Elephas maximus indicus: one gene and its partners. The protein of the gene in region 3 interacts with the protein of the main gene of each other region in a pairwise test. Links are inferred from orthologs where the notes say so. Each region holds a gene or a part of one and is shown on either strand. Other genes may lie near its edges. The genes, in order: PLEKHF1, NGB and L3MBTL3.

The links.
Region 1: the proteins of L3MBTL3 (region 3) and PLEKHF1 interact in binary tests that used the Homo sapiens proteins (3 or more experiments, as listed by UniProt). The two-hybrid records come from large-scale screens. The link is inferred for Elephas maximus indicus from reciprocal best matches to the Homo sapiens genes L3MBTL3 and PLEKHF1.
Region 2: the proteins of L3MBTL3 (region 3) and NGB interact in binary tests that used the Homo sapiens proteins (3 or more experiments, as listed by UniProt). The two-hybrid records come from large-scale screens. The link is inferred for Elephas maximus indicus from reciprocal best matches to the Homo sapiens genes L3MBTL3 and NGB.

The regions. Positions count from the first base shown.
Region 1 is NC_064839.1:11,415,422-11,419,165, reverse strand, and holds the start of PLEKHF1 (pleckstrin homology domain-containing family F member 1), read right to left. Parts: upstream 2,416-3,744; 5' UTR 2,287-2,415; intron 1-2,286. UniProt on the Homo sapiens protein: May induce apoptosis through the lysosomal-mitochondrial pathway. Translocates to the lysosome initiating the permeabilization of lysosomal membrane (LMP) and resulting in the release of CTSD and CTSL to the cytoplasm.
Region 2 is NC_064828.1:90,064,665-90,068,408, forward strand, and holds the start of NGB (neuroglobin), read right to left. Parts: upstream 2,288-3,744; coding exon 2,199-2,287; intron 1-2,198. UniProt on the Homo sapiens protein: Monomeric globin with a bis-histidyl six-coordinate heme-iron atom through which it can bind dioxygen, carbon monoxide and nitric oxide.
Region 3 is NC_064819.1:198,635,130-198,638,873, forward strand, and holds the start of L3MBTL3 (lethal(3)malignant brain tumor-like protein 3), read left to right. Parts: upstream 1-757; 5' UTR 758-877; intron 878-961; exon of another isoform or gene 962-1,350; intron 1,351-1,599; exon of another isoform or gene 1,600-1,665; intron 1,666-1,831; exon of another isoform or gene 1,832-1,921; intron 1,922-2,658; exon of another isoform or gene 2,659-2,842; intron 2,843-3,182; exon of another isoform or gene 3,183-3,634; intron 3,635-3,744. UniProt on the Homo sapiens protein: Is a negative regulator of Notch target genes expression, required for RBPJ-mediated transcriptional repression. It recruits KDM1A to Notch-responsive elements and promotes KDM1A-mediated H3K4me demethylation.

The DNA of each region.
Region 1 (3,744 bases), on a different chromosome or scaffold from region 3:
GCACCTGGAAATGAATACACCTGCATCTTTCTCTCAGGATTCAGAAGGGGTGGCAGGTTCCTGGGCTCACCCTTCTGAACATATATGATCCCACCACCTGAACTGAAGCTCAGGGTATGTACCATGAGAGCTGTGGCTTGGGGGCCCAGGCTCTGAATGTTTTTAGGTGGCTGCAAATGCCATGTGACCAGGATTCCATGCATGACAGCCAATGTATGATACCTGACCTACACCAGGGGTTAGCAAACTATGGCTCCAGGGCCAAATCTGGCTCACCGCCTGTTTTTCTAAATAGAACTTTATTGGAACACAGCCTTATACAACAGAGACTGTATAGCCTACAAAGCTGAAAATATTCAGCTCTTACTTGGCCCTTTACAGAAGATGTTTGCTGACCCCTGGTATACCACGCGTTATATAAAATGTACAATGGTGTCTGTTCCAGGGACATACCCAGTGACCCACACGGGGCTTTGTCCTGGTGGAACATGTCCTCTCCTCTCCTGAACTCGGAACACGGCCTTTGGGATCTGCAGAGAGATGCTGGGTGCCTCAACGTAGGAGCCTTAGAAAGATGGAGCTGAGAGGGGTGCTCTGATCCACCTTCCCCTTGAGTTACATGTAGGGACACTGGTCATCAGAGAGGGACGTAATACCTGGCCCAAGGTCACAGAGAAAAGCGGAATCCAGGGGCCAGCCCCACCCTTCAGCTTCCCCCGATGGGCAGGGCTGGGCCATGGGGCTGAATGTAACAGTAACAAGAAAAATAACCCACAGGGGTGCCACTTCCCGCTAGAGCTCTTGGCCCTCCAGGCACAAGACTTGAGCACATTACAAGTATTATCTGATTTAATTCTCAGAAAAGCCCCTTGAGGAAAATACCATCACCAGTTTCAAAGTCACTGCCCAAGGACCTGGCTGAGTGAGCCAGAAGCCAGGCTCCAAACTAACCGTAAGCTACTGAAGGCTGCTCTTGACCAAAAACAAAGTCAGGAATCCTCAAACCCAGTGGGTCGGGCCCCTCTCCAGGCCACAGGCCCCTTGAGATGGCCTGGGCAAGTCTATTAGTTTGACTGGGCTGACCTGCCCCAGGCCACACTGGCCAAGCTACGCTTCATTCCCTGTGGTGGGCTGGGGTGTGCAGGACCCTCAGCTCATCTGGGCGGCCTCGCCTGCCAGCCTTGGCACCACTGAGGGCTGACGTGTGCAGGGATGTGGGGCCAAAGCCAGAGAAGGGTCACCTCTCAGCCTGCAGGACTCCGCCATAAACCCTCTCTAAGCCCCTCCGGCTTGGAACTGGGGGCTGAGGAGGGCTGTTGGTCTCTCCAGGAGGCCAAGACTGTGAGAGATCACACCAGCCAGCTCTGGTCACTTGTCCCAGGGAATCGGTGCTGTTCCAGGGCTTGCCTGGGAGAGTATCTGGGACTCTCTGGCCTCTGATTCTCTGGTGATGAGATAATAGTTTTGTTCAAAATTCCAAACAAATATTTCCTTTGGGCTATGAAGACCAAGTTCTGCAGTAGCTGGGAGTTTTCCCACCTGCAAGGGCTGCTACCGACACCTCTCTGCGGGTATTCGAAGAGAGAAAGGGAAGGGGGTTCCAGGAAATTCGCCCATTGTCCGGGATGCGAATAAACCAGGCTGGAGGGTTGGGAAGCAACTACCATCTCTCTCTGGGTCGGCCTCAGTTATTTCCTCTGCGACATGGGAAATTGAGCTTGGCCGTTTCCCCTGACGGTTCCCACCACGGGTCATTAACTCGAATGCGCTTCGGGGCCAAGCGGTCCCCAAAAGAAATGGGCCAAAGAGGGCGGAGCCACCCAGAAAGCGCTGCCGACCCCCATTTTCTCCCCACAGGCGGGCAGTGGTCCCAGCCCACGACTTCAGACCCCGCAGACTGGGACCAATCACTGAGGTTCAGACAGAGGTGTGAGGCCATGACTCCCCGAAACATCACCCAACAACCGGTGAGCTGAGATCCCTGCAGCCCCAGGGCGCAGCGCCCAGGGACTCCTCCCGACCCTCCGCCCAGGGGCCCCGCCTCGGCCACGGAGCCCCACCTGCTCTCCCTGGACCCCGCAGCCCTCACCCTGCCTGCCCCGCCAGCCAGCGAAGAGCGCCCTTCTCCGCGCCTCTCCAAGGGTCTGGAGTCGGAGCCCGCCCTGGCTGCGCGCCCCGGCCCGCCCGAGCCCCGTGGCCACCTCGACCGAGCGGCCCCGGGCTCTGGGACTTAGGGAGGGGAGCCCGTCTGCTCCACGCGCCCCAGCCCGGCCGCGGGGCCCTTACCTTCTCCGCCAGACACCCCTCGCCCGCGCGCCTCTCGCCAGCCCGCGGCTGCCCGGCAGCTCCGCCCGCGTCCGCGTTCCTCTGGCCGCTGCAGCCAAGCCGCGAGCCGCCCACGCCTCCGAGTTCCAACTCCTCCTGGCACCCTCGGGGGAGGCTCCGCCAATCGGCGCCCCGCAGCGCTGGCGGGGCGGAGCCCGAACCCAGAACTCTGAGCCAAGCCTTGCGAAATGCGTGGGGGTGGAGCGGCCCCAAGTTTCAGGTGGTCCCTTGTGAGCGGCGGGGCCCTAGCGACAGCTCCTTCTTGCTCCCTTGGGGCTGGTTCCCCAGTTCGTCCGGTTTGTTCCCCCACCCCCAGTTTCCCGTTTCTGCCGGTCGCACTCCTCATACTTGCTGTGGCCGAAGAAGACTGAGTCCGCGAACCCTGCTACTGCCTACTGCAAGGTGGGGGGCGCTGGGGGCAGGGTGAGGCTGTTGGATTGTTATGCCTTCTGATGTCTTCTAGCAGCCCCCCTCCTGCCTGCTGACCCCTCATAGTCTTTTCCCCTCGCAGCAAGAGCGGTGGTAGTAATAACGATAAGTATACTGTGGGGGCTTGTGTGTTACTGTGATCCTGGAAGCTATGCCACCAGTATTTCAAATACCAGCAGAGTCACTCATGGTGGGCAGGTTTCAGCAGAGCTTCCAGACTAAGACAGACTCAGAAGAAGGGCCTGGCGACCTACCAAAAAAACTGGGCAGTAAAAACCGTATAAATAGCAGCAGAACCTTGCCTGATATAATACCAGAACACCAGCCACTCAGGCTAGAAGGCACTCAAAATAAGAGGAGGAAGAGCCACCTTCTCCAACTAGAGTCAACCTGAAAGACATGGCGGAGTCAAACTTTCCGGACCTTCATTTGCTGATGTGGCATGACTCAAAATGAGAAGAAGCAGGGCAAATATCTATTAATAATTGGAATGTGGAGTGTACAAAGTATAAATCTAGGAAAATTACATATTATCAAAAATGTAATGGAGCCCTTGAAGATGGATATCCTGGGCATTAGTGAGCTGAAATGGACTGGTATTGGCCATTTTGAATCATACAATCATATGGTCTACTATGCCAGGAAAGACAAGTTGAAGAGGAATGTCATCACATTCATCGTCAAAAAGAACACTTCAAGATCTGTCCTGAAGTACAACGTTGTCAGTGATAGGATACTATTCATACACCTACAAGGAAGACCAGGTAATATGACTATTTACGCACCAACCACTAATGCCAAAGATGAAGAAATTGAAGTCTGAAATTGATCAAACATACAATCAAGATACATTGATAATTACTGGTGATTGGAATGCAAAAGATGGAAACAAAGAAGAACCAGTAGTTGGAAAATATGGCCTTAGCAATAGAAATGACACTGGAGATTGCATAACAGAATTTTCATTGGAAATACCTTTTTTGCAACAAC
Region 2 (3,744 bases), on a different chromosome or scaffold from region 3:
GGTGTCAGCCCCCAAAAGCCCCCCGCGAGCCCTGGTTGTCCAGCAATGGGAGTGGGGGCTGAGCCAGGGCTTTGGCTGTAAACTCTGGTGCACCCTCCAACCTGACATGGGCCCTTTGCCAGCTTTGCTGCTGCCTCCTCCCCAACACTTAGGCCAGCTCTGAGGGGCGACCTGGGAAGAACAATGCATCTCCAGGTCTCTCAGTATCTGGCATATGATCGTTGGGCGCCATCAAGTTGATTCCTATTCATAGCAACCCAATGTGACAGGGTAGAACTACCCTATAGGGTTTTTAATAGCTGTAATTTTTACAGGAAGGAGCCCTGGTGGCACAGTGGTTAAAGTGCTTAGCTGCTAACCAAAAGGTCAGTGGTTCGAACCCACCAGCCACTCCTCAGGAGAAAGATGTGGCAGTCTGCTTCCATAAATATTTACAGCCTTGGAAACCACATGGGACAGTTCTACTCTGTCCTACAGAGTCATTATGATCCAATTTGATGGCAATGGGTTTGGTTTTGGTTACCTTTACAGAAGCAGATTGCCAGGTCTTTTTCCTGCAGAGCCACTAGGTGGCTTTGAGCCACCAACCTTTCTGTTAGCAGCCGAGTGCTTAACCATTGTGCTACCAGGGCTCCTTCTGGCATACAGTAGCCCCTTCATAAATAGTTATGGGGTGTGGGCTGGGACAGGAAGGAGGTCCTCATAATAGGAAATCTAGAGTTACATTATGGGGAGAGGAAAGTCCTTCTTTCTCCCTCTCTGTTTCAGCCTCCTACTCTTGGGTCAGAGCTTCCCAGGCTCCTCCTGTTTCCAGTAGGTGATGATAACAATAGTATCAAGAACAAAATCCACATAATGACTGAGCACTGAGTACTTCACCTGTGGTAAGCTCATGTCTTCCTCACCATCCCAAGCAGTGGGCACAACTGCTATTCTGATTTTACAGGAGGTTTTAAGTAATGTGCCCTAGGTCACACCATTTGGGGGTGGTGGAGCTCCAGGGAGTGCATGTTTGGAGACGGCAAAGAGATGGAAGCGGAAGATCTCAGTCACGTTTGGGAGGCATGTGGTGGTTTTGTGGAACTCTGTGTTTATCTCCCTCTGTCTTGGGGGAGTTTTTGTTTTTTTTTTTTTTTTTACAAAAGCCTCAGGGGAAGTTTTGGGCTGCCTCAGGGAGCCCCAGCTCCTGAAAATCCAAGGTGAGGAAGGGAGCGTTGCTCTGTTAGCAGGGGCAGATTAACCAGTAGGCAAGGTAAGCATGGTGCTTACCTTGCTTACTTCATCATCTGTAGTGGACAATTTCACATATTTTCACCACATTAAAGATGCTGCTTCTAAGTATGGCTGGCATCTGTCTTTCCCCCTGTCCCACAGCACCTTCCTACAGAATCAAAGCCTCTTTTCCAAGGGACAGTCCCTGACCGGCAGATGATGAAGTAAGCAAGGTAAGCATGGGCTTATTTGTGCTTACTTACTAAGATTAATGATCTAGCAAACCAGGTAAACAACCGTGCTTACCTTGCCTATTGGATAATCCGCGCCCTTCCCGTTGGTGATGGTATAGGAGTTGGGGAGAGGTCCCCAAGCTGGGGTTGCAAACTGACCTTCCCTAGCCTGGTGGGGTCTGCACACCGCCTAAGGGCCTCCTCGGTGGTGAGACTTGGGCGGCTCTCACCCCTTCCTCGGAGGATCTCTGGTCCTAGCCTGGTCCCTTCCCCAGTAGGGTTATCCTTCCATCTTTTGCTGGGAGTACGCACGCCTAGGGCCCGGACTCTGTGCACCGCTAACCACCCATGGGTGCGCCCGGCACACCCTCCCCGCACGGACCCTTGGGGCTCCCCAGTCCCCTGTACCCGGCGGCCGTGGGCGTCCTGCAGTCGCCACCCAAGGAACGTGCGGGAGGCACAAAGCCGAGCAGGGGCCACAGCTGGCCAGGTGTGAGGAGATTCGCTAGCGAGGCCCCCGCCCACCTCCATGAGCCCAAGCGGTTGCTGCAGGTGCAGCGCTGCCCGCAGGACGCACCCACGTCCGAGGAAGCTCACAAGGGGCTGCGCCACCGTCGCCGCGCTCCGCCGTCTCTGGCGCACATTTGGCGGGCGCCCGGCGCCAAGGCGGTGGCTGGTTCCCCTCCTACGGCCAAGCCAGCACTCTCGAGCCCATCCCGCGAGGCTGGGACCCCGGCGCTCCGGCCGCCTCACCTGGCGAACAGGACGGTACCGTGCTCCAGCGGGCTGCGGCTCACCACGCGCCAGCTCTGCCGGATCAGCTCGTGCTCGGGGCGCTGCATGCTCGCCGGGGACGCGGGGCACACGGCTGGGATTCTCGGGGCGCGGGGGCCGTCACTGCACGTGCAGCGCCATCTCTGTGGAGACTCAGGCCACTCCGCACCCCTTACAGTCCCCGCGCCTCCGCCGAGTCAGCGGCCGCTCCTTCCTTGGTCGGAGTGGAACGAAGACGCGCAGCAGCTCGCGGTGTGTGGAGGCGCCCCAGCCGCGCCCACCCCGCTGGTGCTGCCGGGGACCCCTCTCCCGCCGCTGAGCCCTGCGCCCCGCAGCTCAGCCAGCGGCCCCGCCCCGCGCCGCCCCGGCGGGGCGCTTTAAAGAGACCGCGTTCCCCGCCCCCGTCCGTCCATCAAGGCTCTTTCTCTCTCCGCAACCGGCTCCGGCCGAGAACGACCTGGTGGCGTGGGACATGCCCGAGCTTCAGTGCTTAACTGAAATCTTCCAGCCTCCCTGGGCCTCAGTTTCGCATCTGGAAACTGGTGATAATATTACTACTTAGTGTCTGGAAGACAGCTCTGGTGGCGCAGTGGTTAAGCGCTGGGCTGCTAACCAAAGGGTAGGCGGTTCAACACACCAGCTGCTCCGCAGGAGAAAGATGTGGCAGTCTACCGTAAAGATTTACAACCTTGGAAATCCTGTGGGGCAGTTCTACTCTGTCCTAAATAGTCACTTTGAGTCGGAATCCGCTCCAAGGCAACGGGTTTTCGTTTTAGGATATGGAACCCTGATGGCGCTGTGTTGAATTTGACCGCCTCTCCACAAGCCCCACCCAAACATTGCCCAGAGGCATTTGAGTTTGCTGTCAATCTCTTTCTCCTTTCTTCTGCCCTGAAGTTGTCCAGAGTGCGCTGGGGAGCATACCTTTATGACCAGGCTGAGAATGCGGTGCCCCCTGCCCTGGCTCAGGGTCTGACTGGGGCACCGGCATAGGTTGGAGGCCACCAGGGCTCTCAGCCTTGGGGACAGGGCCAAAACTGCAGACATTTCCAGGCAGGCCTGGCTTTTCTTGAGACTCCATCACTGGAAATCTGTGGGCTCCAGTTCTAATCCCAGCTCTGCTTAGCCAGGGTGGGACTTTGGGGGCAGTAGGCGTGAGCCTGTTTCCTCACCTGGAAATTGAGGGAGTTAGGATCTGGCAATCTACTGTTCCATAATTTTTAATCGACTTTAGTTTTTTTTTAGAAAGTACTGTTTCAGGTAACAGTCTTACGCTTGCCATCCAAGCAAACAGTTGGTTACGTATCAGACCTAAACTTTTCTGTTTCAAGCATGAAAGTTTCTCAGGCCCCAGCCCAGTTCTAGTGGCCCAGGTTTTGGAGAGCTGGCCCATTCATTATTGGCCATTTCAAGTCTCTGAGCCTATCTCCTCCTAGTCTGTCCACTTCTCTCTCTGGGCCTGTTTCCTCAGCTGTGCAGTAAGAGGGTTGAGCAGCATGGTCTCTAAGGGCCTTCCAGAATCAAT
Region 3 (3,744 bases):
TCAATAAGTGAGTGGAAAGCTGTCAATACCAAAATACGATACTCCCTTGATCTAGTTTTGATTTGTTAACAAAGACAGGTTTTGACGTTTACAATGGCTCAGCCATCTTGACTGAATACATTAGAAGGATACTCCACCTGCTTACTGCCAAGGTGGTTTAACACGGATTTCTGGGTTGATCTGGGAATCTCAGCATGTCTCCTAACGAAGGCCCAACATGTTTAAACTGTCAGTAAAGATCCACACAGAAGAAGAGGAAAAAACACGCAAGTTTTAAATCCATACTTCTTCACGCATTCTTCGAGTCCTAAAAGAGGGGGAGTTTTCTGCTGCGTTAAAGCTTAAAACTTTATTTCTTTATATTTTATGACCTGTAGCACAGGTTTAGCCTATAGGTAGGGTTTGTGTAAAGACTATAGGCCCACTCTTTAATGGCTGAATGCATACATTCCCCAGCACATGGTGGATTAGCTGCTCTACGAATGGCCTTAAAAAAAAGTAAAGTGGAAAATAGACAAAGAAATCTATAACCTTTACAGTCTTTCATGTTTGTTTTGCCTGTTCTTGAACCGGCTTTGAGTCGGTGACGAGGATATTGAAAAGATGCACCTGAAACGGTATCTGCCGGCAGCTGCATTTGCCAAGCGGCTCTATTGCTGCTTTCCAGCGGCGAAGGCGCAGCAGCAGTAACAGGGAAGCCAGCGCGAGCTTCCCCGGCGGCGGCGGCGGCGGCGGTGGCGGCGGCGGCACCGGCACCAGCGCAGTTTCCCCTCTCCCCAGCCCTGACTCTACGCGCACATGCGCACTGCGCCCGCAGCCCTGGACCATTTGTCAGGACTACTCGTGAGACGGAGAAAAAAAAAAGAAAAATTTTGGGGTAAGAAGCGGTTGATCTGATCTAATATCTAATTAATCTGAAGCTGTGTACATGCAAAAGCCATTCATTTATTTTTCTGGGTGAGGATGAAAGTTAAGAGCCCTACAGAGGGAAGGAAGCGCACCCTCCTCTTGTGAAACAGATCGGGGAGGGGAAAGGACAGAAGGGGTTTCTCCCCCACTTCTCTCCGCCTCTGGGAAAGAGGCGAAAACTTAATCCCGGGGAAAAAAGTGGGCAAGTGACTCTGAAATGGCTGGAGGGGGAGTCTCTGGGCATCTCACTCTGAAGTAGTGAGTGTGAGTGTGAAAGAGGAACAAAAGAGAGAGAAAAGAGAAAGGAAAAAATGGGGGGAGGAGAGACTTGTATTTTTTTCTTTGCGCGCACACGGAGAAGGGTGTGGGGGGCTGTGCGGAAGGGAGCCGGGCGAGGCGGCCGCGTCGGGCTCTCGCCCGCGCGCAGGCGGCTGGATGCGTGTGAGCCCCCTCCCCTGCGCCCCCCGAGAGCTTGTCACTTTGGTCTCTTTCATGACACCGGGAGCGGGGTGGGGGAGCGCGGCGGCGCTGGGCTCCGGGTGCGTGCCCGTGTAGGCGCCGCGGAGCCGCAGCCTGGGCGGCGAGCGCGGCCACCGAGGCTGGGGGCGCCGGCGGGGGGCGCGGGGGCGGCCGGGGCCGCGGATCGGTGCAGCGGGAGGCGCGAGCCCCGCGCGCCGCCCCTGCGGCCCCCTCCGCCCGTGTGGCCTTTGTGCCGGCGCGCACCGGAGAGCGAGCGAGCGAGCGCGAGAAGTACAAGTACGGGAGACCGAGGCAGTGGGAAAAGAGGCCGGGGCACTTTCTCGCCACTCGGGCTGCGGAGAATGGACTGGTTGAATGTGCAGGCGCGTCTTCCCGGCGTGTGCTGTGTGTGTGCGCGGCGGAAAGGCCTCTCCGACTCCCACCGCGCACACGCACACTCACACGCACGCACACACACACGGACCCACGGCAGGCTCCGCGGCCGAGAGTTTGCGTTTTCTTCTTCGCCTCCTCCCCTTTCCCGACCGAGTGTGTGAGAATTTAATATAGATCAGCTCCAATTTCCGCCATTTTGGGAAAGTTGCACAAAAATAAACCCTCCGGTTTATTTCTGCCAGAGGCAGGAAAGTGCTTGGGGAAGCGAGGCGGCGGCGCGGGCCCGCGGCTGCCGTCCGCGCTGGGGAGGGCTCGGGCACGGGCCGGGCCGGCTCTCGTGCCGTCGCGGCCACCCCGCGCCGTGCGGCGCCGGCCCGGGTGCGGGCGTGTGTCGGGAGGTGGCGGCCGCGGTAGCGGCGGAGGCAGCGGCCGCGCCAGGGCGTCGGGCTGGGGCGGTGGGGGGGGGACGCGGGGTGCCTTTTCCTGCAACTTGTTTACGCCTTTCTTATATTGGGGAGCCAAAGGGGTTCGAACAGGGGCCGCTGCCAGCCTCACGCCGCGTGCGTGTGCAATTCCGGAATAATGGGCTTTGCACACTAGTGTCCTGGGCCCGGCGGGCCATCCTCGCGCCGCGGCGGCCGGGCGGGTGGGGGGGGAAGTAGAGGCCGGCGGGGGTGGGGATCGGGAAGCGCAGGAGCCGGGGCATCCGCTGCGCGCCCCGGAGCTTGAGGTGGGGGGGAGGGAGGAAAACTTGTGAGCCCTTGGAGGGGTGGGGGCACGGTGACATGGGCGGGGGGAGGGCGCAACTTTTGTGCTAGTGGTAAAACTTTAATTACCTTGAAAGAAAAAAAAAAAGGCCCAATGATTTTTTTTCTCCCCCTTTTCTGGTCAAAGCTCGGCCCACAGCGTGACCGTGAGAGAAAGTTTAAAAGCGGGTGGTTTCCTCCCTGCTTTCCCTTCAGAGGGGTAGAGGTGTCTGTCTGTCCGTCTGCGCTCAGAACGAGGTAGGGGTAACGAGCCGCCCACCGGGGTCGCGAGGACGGTGGCACTTACCCCACCCTGTCACGGGGAGACGAAGGTAAACGTCGCTTCGGTTTCCCTTCTCCTCCCCCCAACCACCCTGCTTCCTTTTCCTCCCCCTCCCCGCCGATTTTTTTGAGGGGACCCGAAAAAACGGAGTCTCTTTCCTTATGCAACTTCCTTGGGCGCAGTGAGCACAGCCCTTCCCCCTCCCTGCATCCCTTGGCCCGCTTCTATACCACCTCGGCCCTAAACCCCAGAAACATGCATTAGAAATCTTTCAAAGTGTACAGAAACAAAAATAGATTTTTAATTGTTTTAAGTTTAGGAAAATGAGATGAGAAATAGGAATTTTTTCGGGGGGGGGATGGCTGGGGCGAGTGCGTCGAATTTTAATTTTGATTTTCCTTGAGCATTGTTCGTGATGTCTTTATTGGTCTTGGAAGCTCGAGAGACTCTGTCCTGCCTATCTTGGTCGCGTGGATTTTTGCGCAAGTTTTTTGAAAAACACTGACTCGAGGAGAGAGCATTTCTCCGTAAAGTTTCAAGTGCAGCAAAATAGCGAACGTGCAAAACTGGCCAAGGGGAGACCTCTAGTGGTTAAACGCATCTTTAAGTTCGGAAGGCCGAGAGCAAAGTTTGGCCTGTACTTGTAGCTACGTAGTCCATTCAGACGTGGAAGTAATTAGACGACCTGAGTGAGCAGCCAGATGTTGTGTGAAAGGATGCTGGTCAGGAATAGAAAGTTTAGTAAATCGGAGAGCAGTGAATCCTGAGGACTCAGACTATGTAACTTCCATCCATCATTAGTTACATGGAAAACCACTTCGCTTTTATTCTGGGATTTGAGGTTGGTCACCCCTTGTATTAGGAACAGTTGTTTTTATATTTGTGGTTGTCTGTACAACAGCAGACTGGTGTACCTTTGATCACGAGGAGTGGATAATCTCATTTTGAATG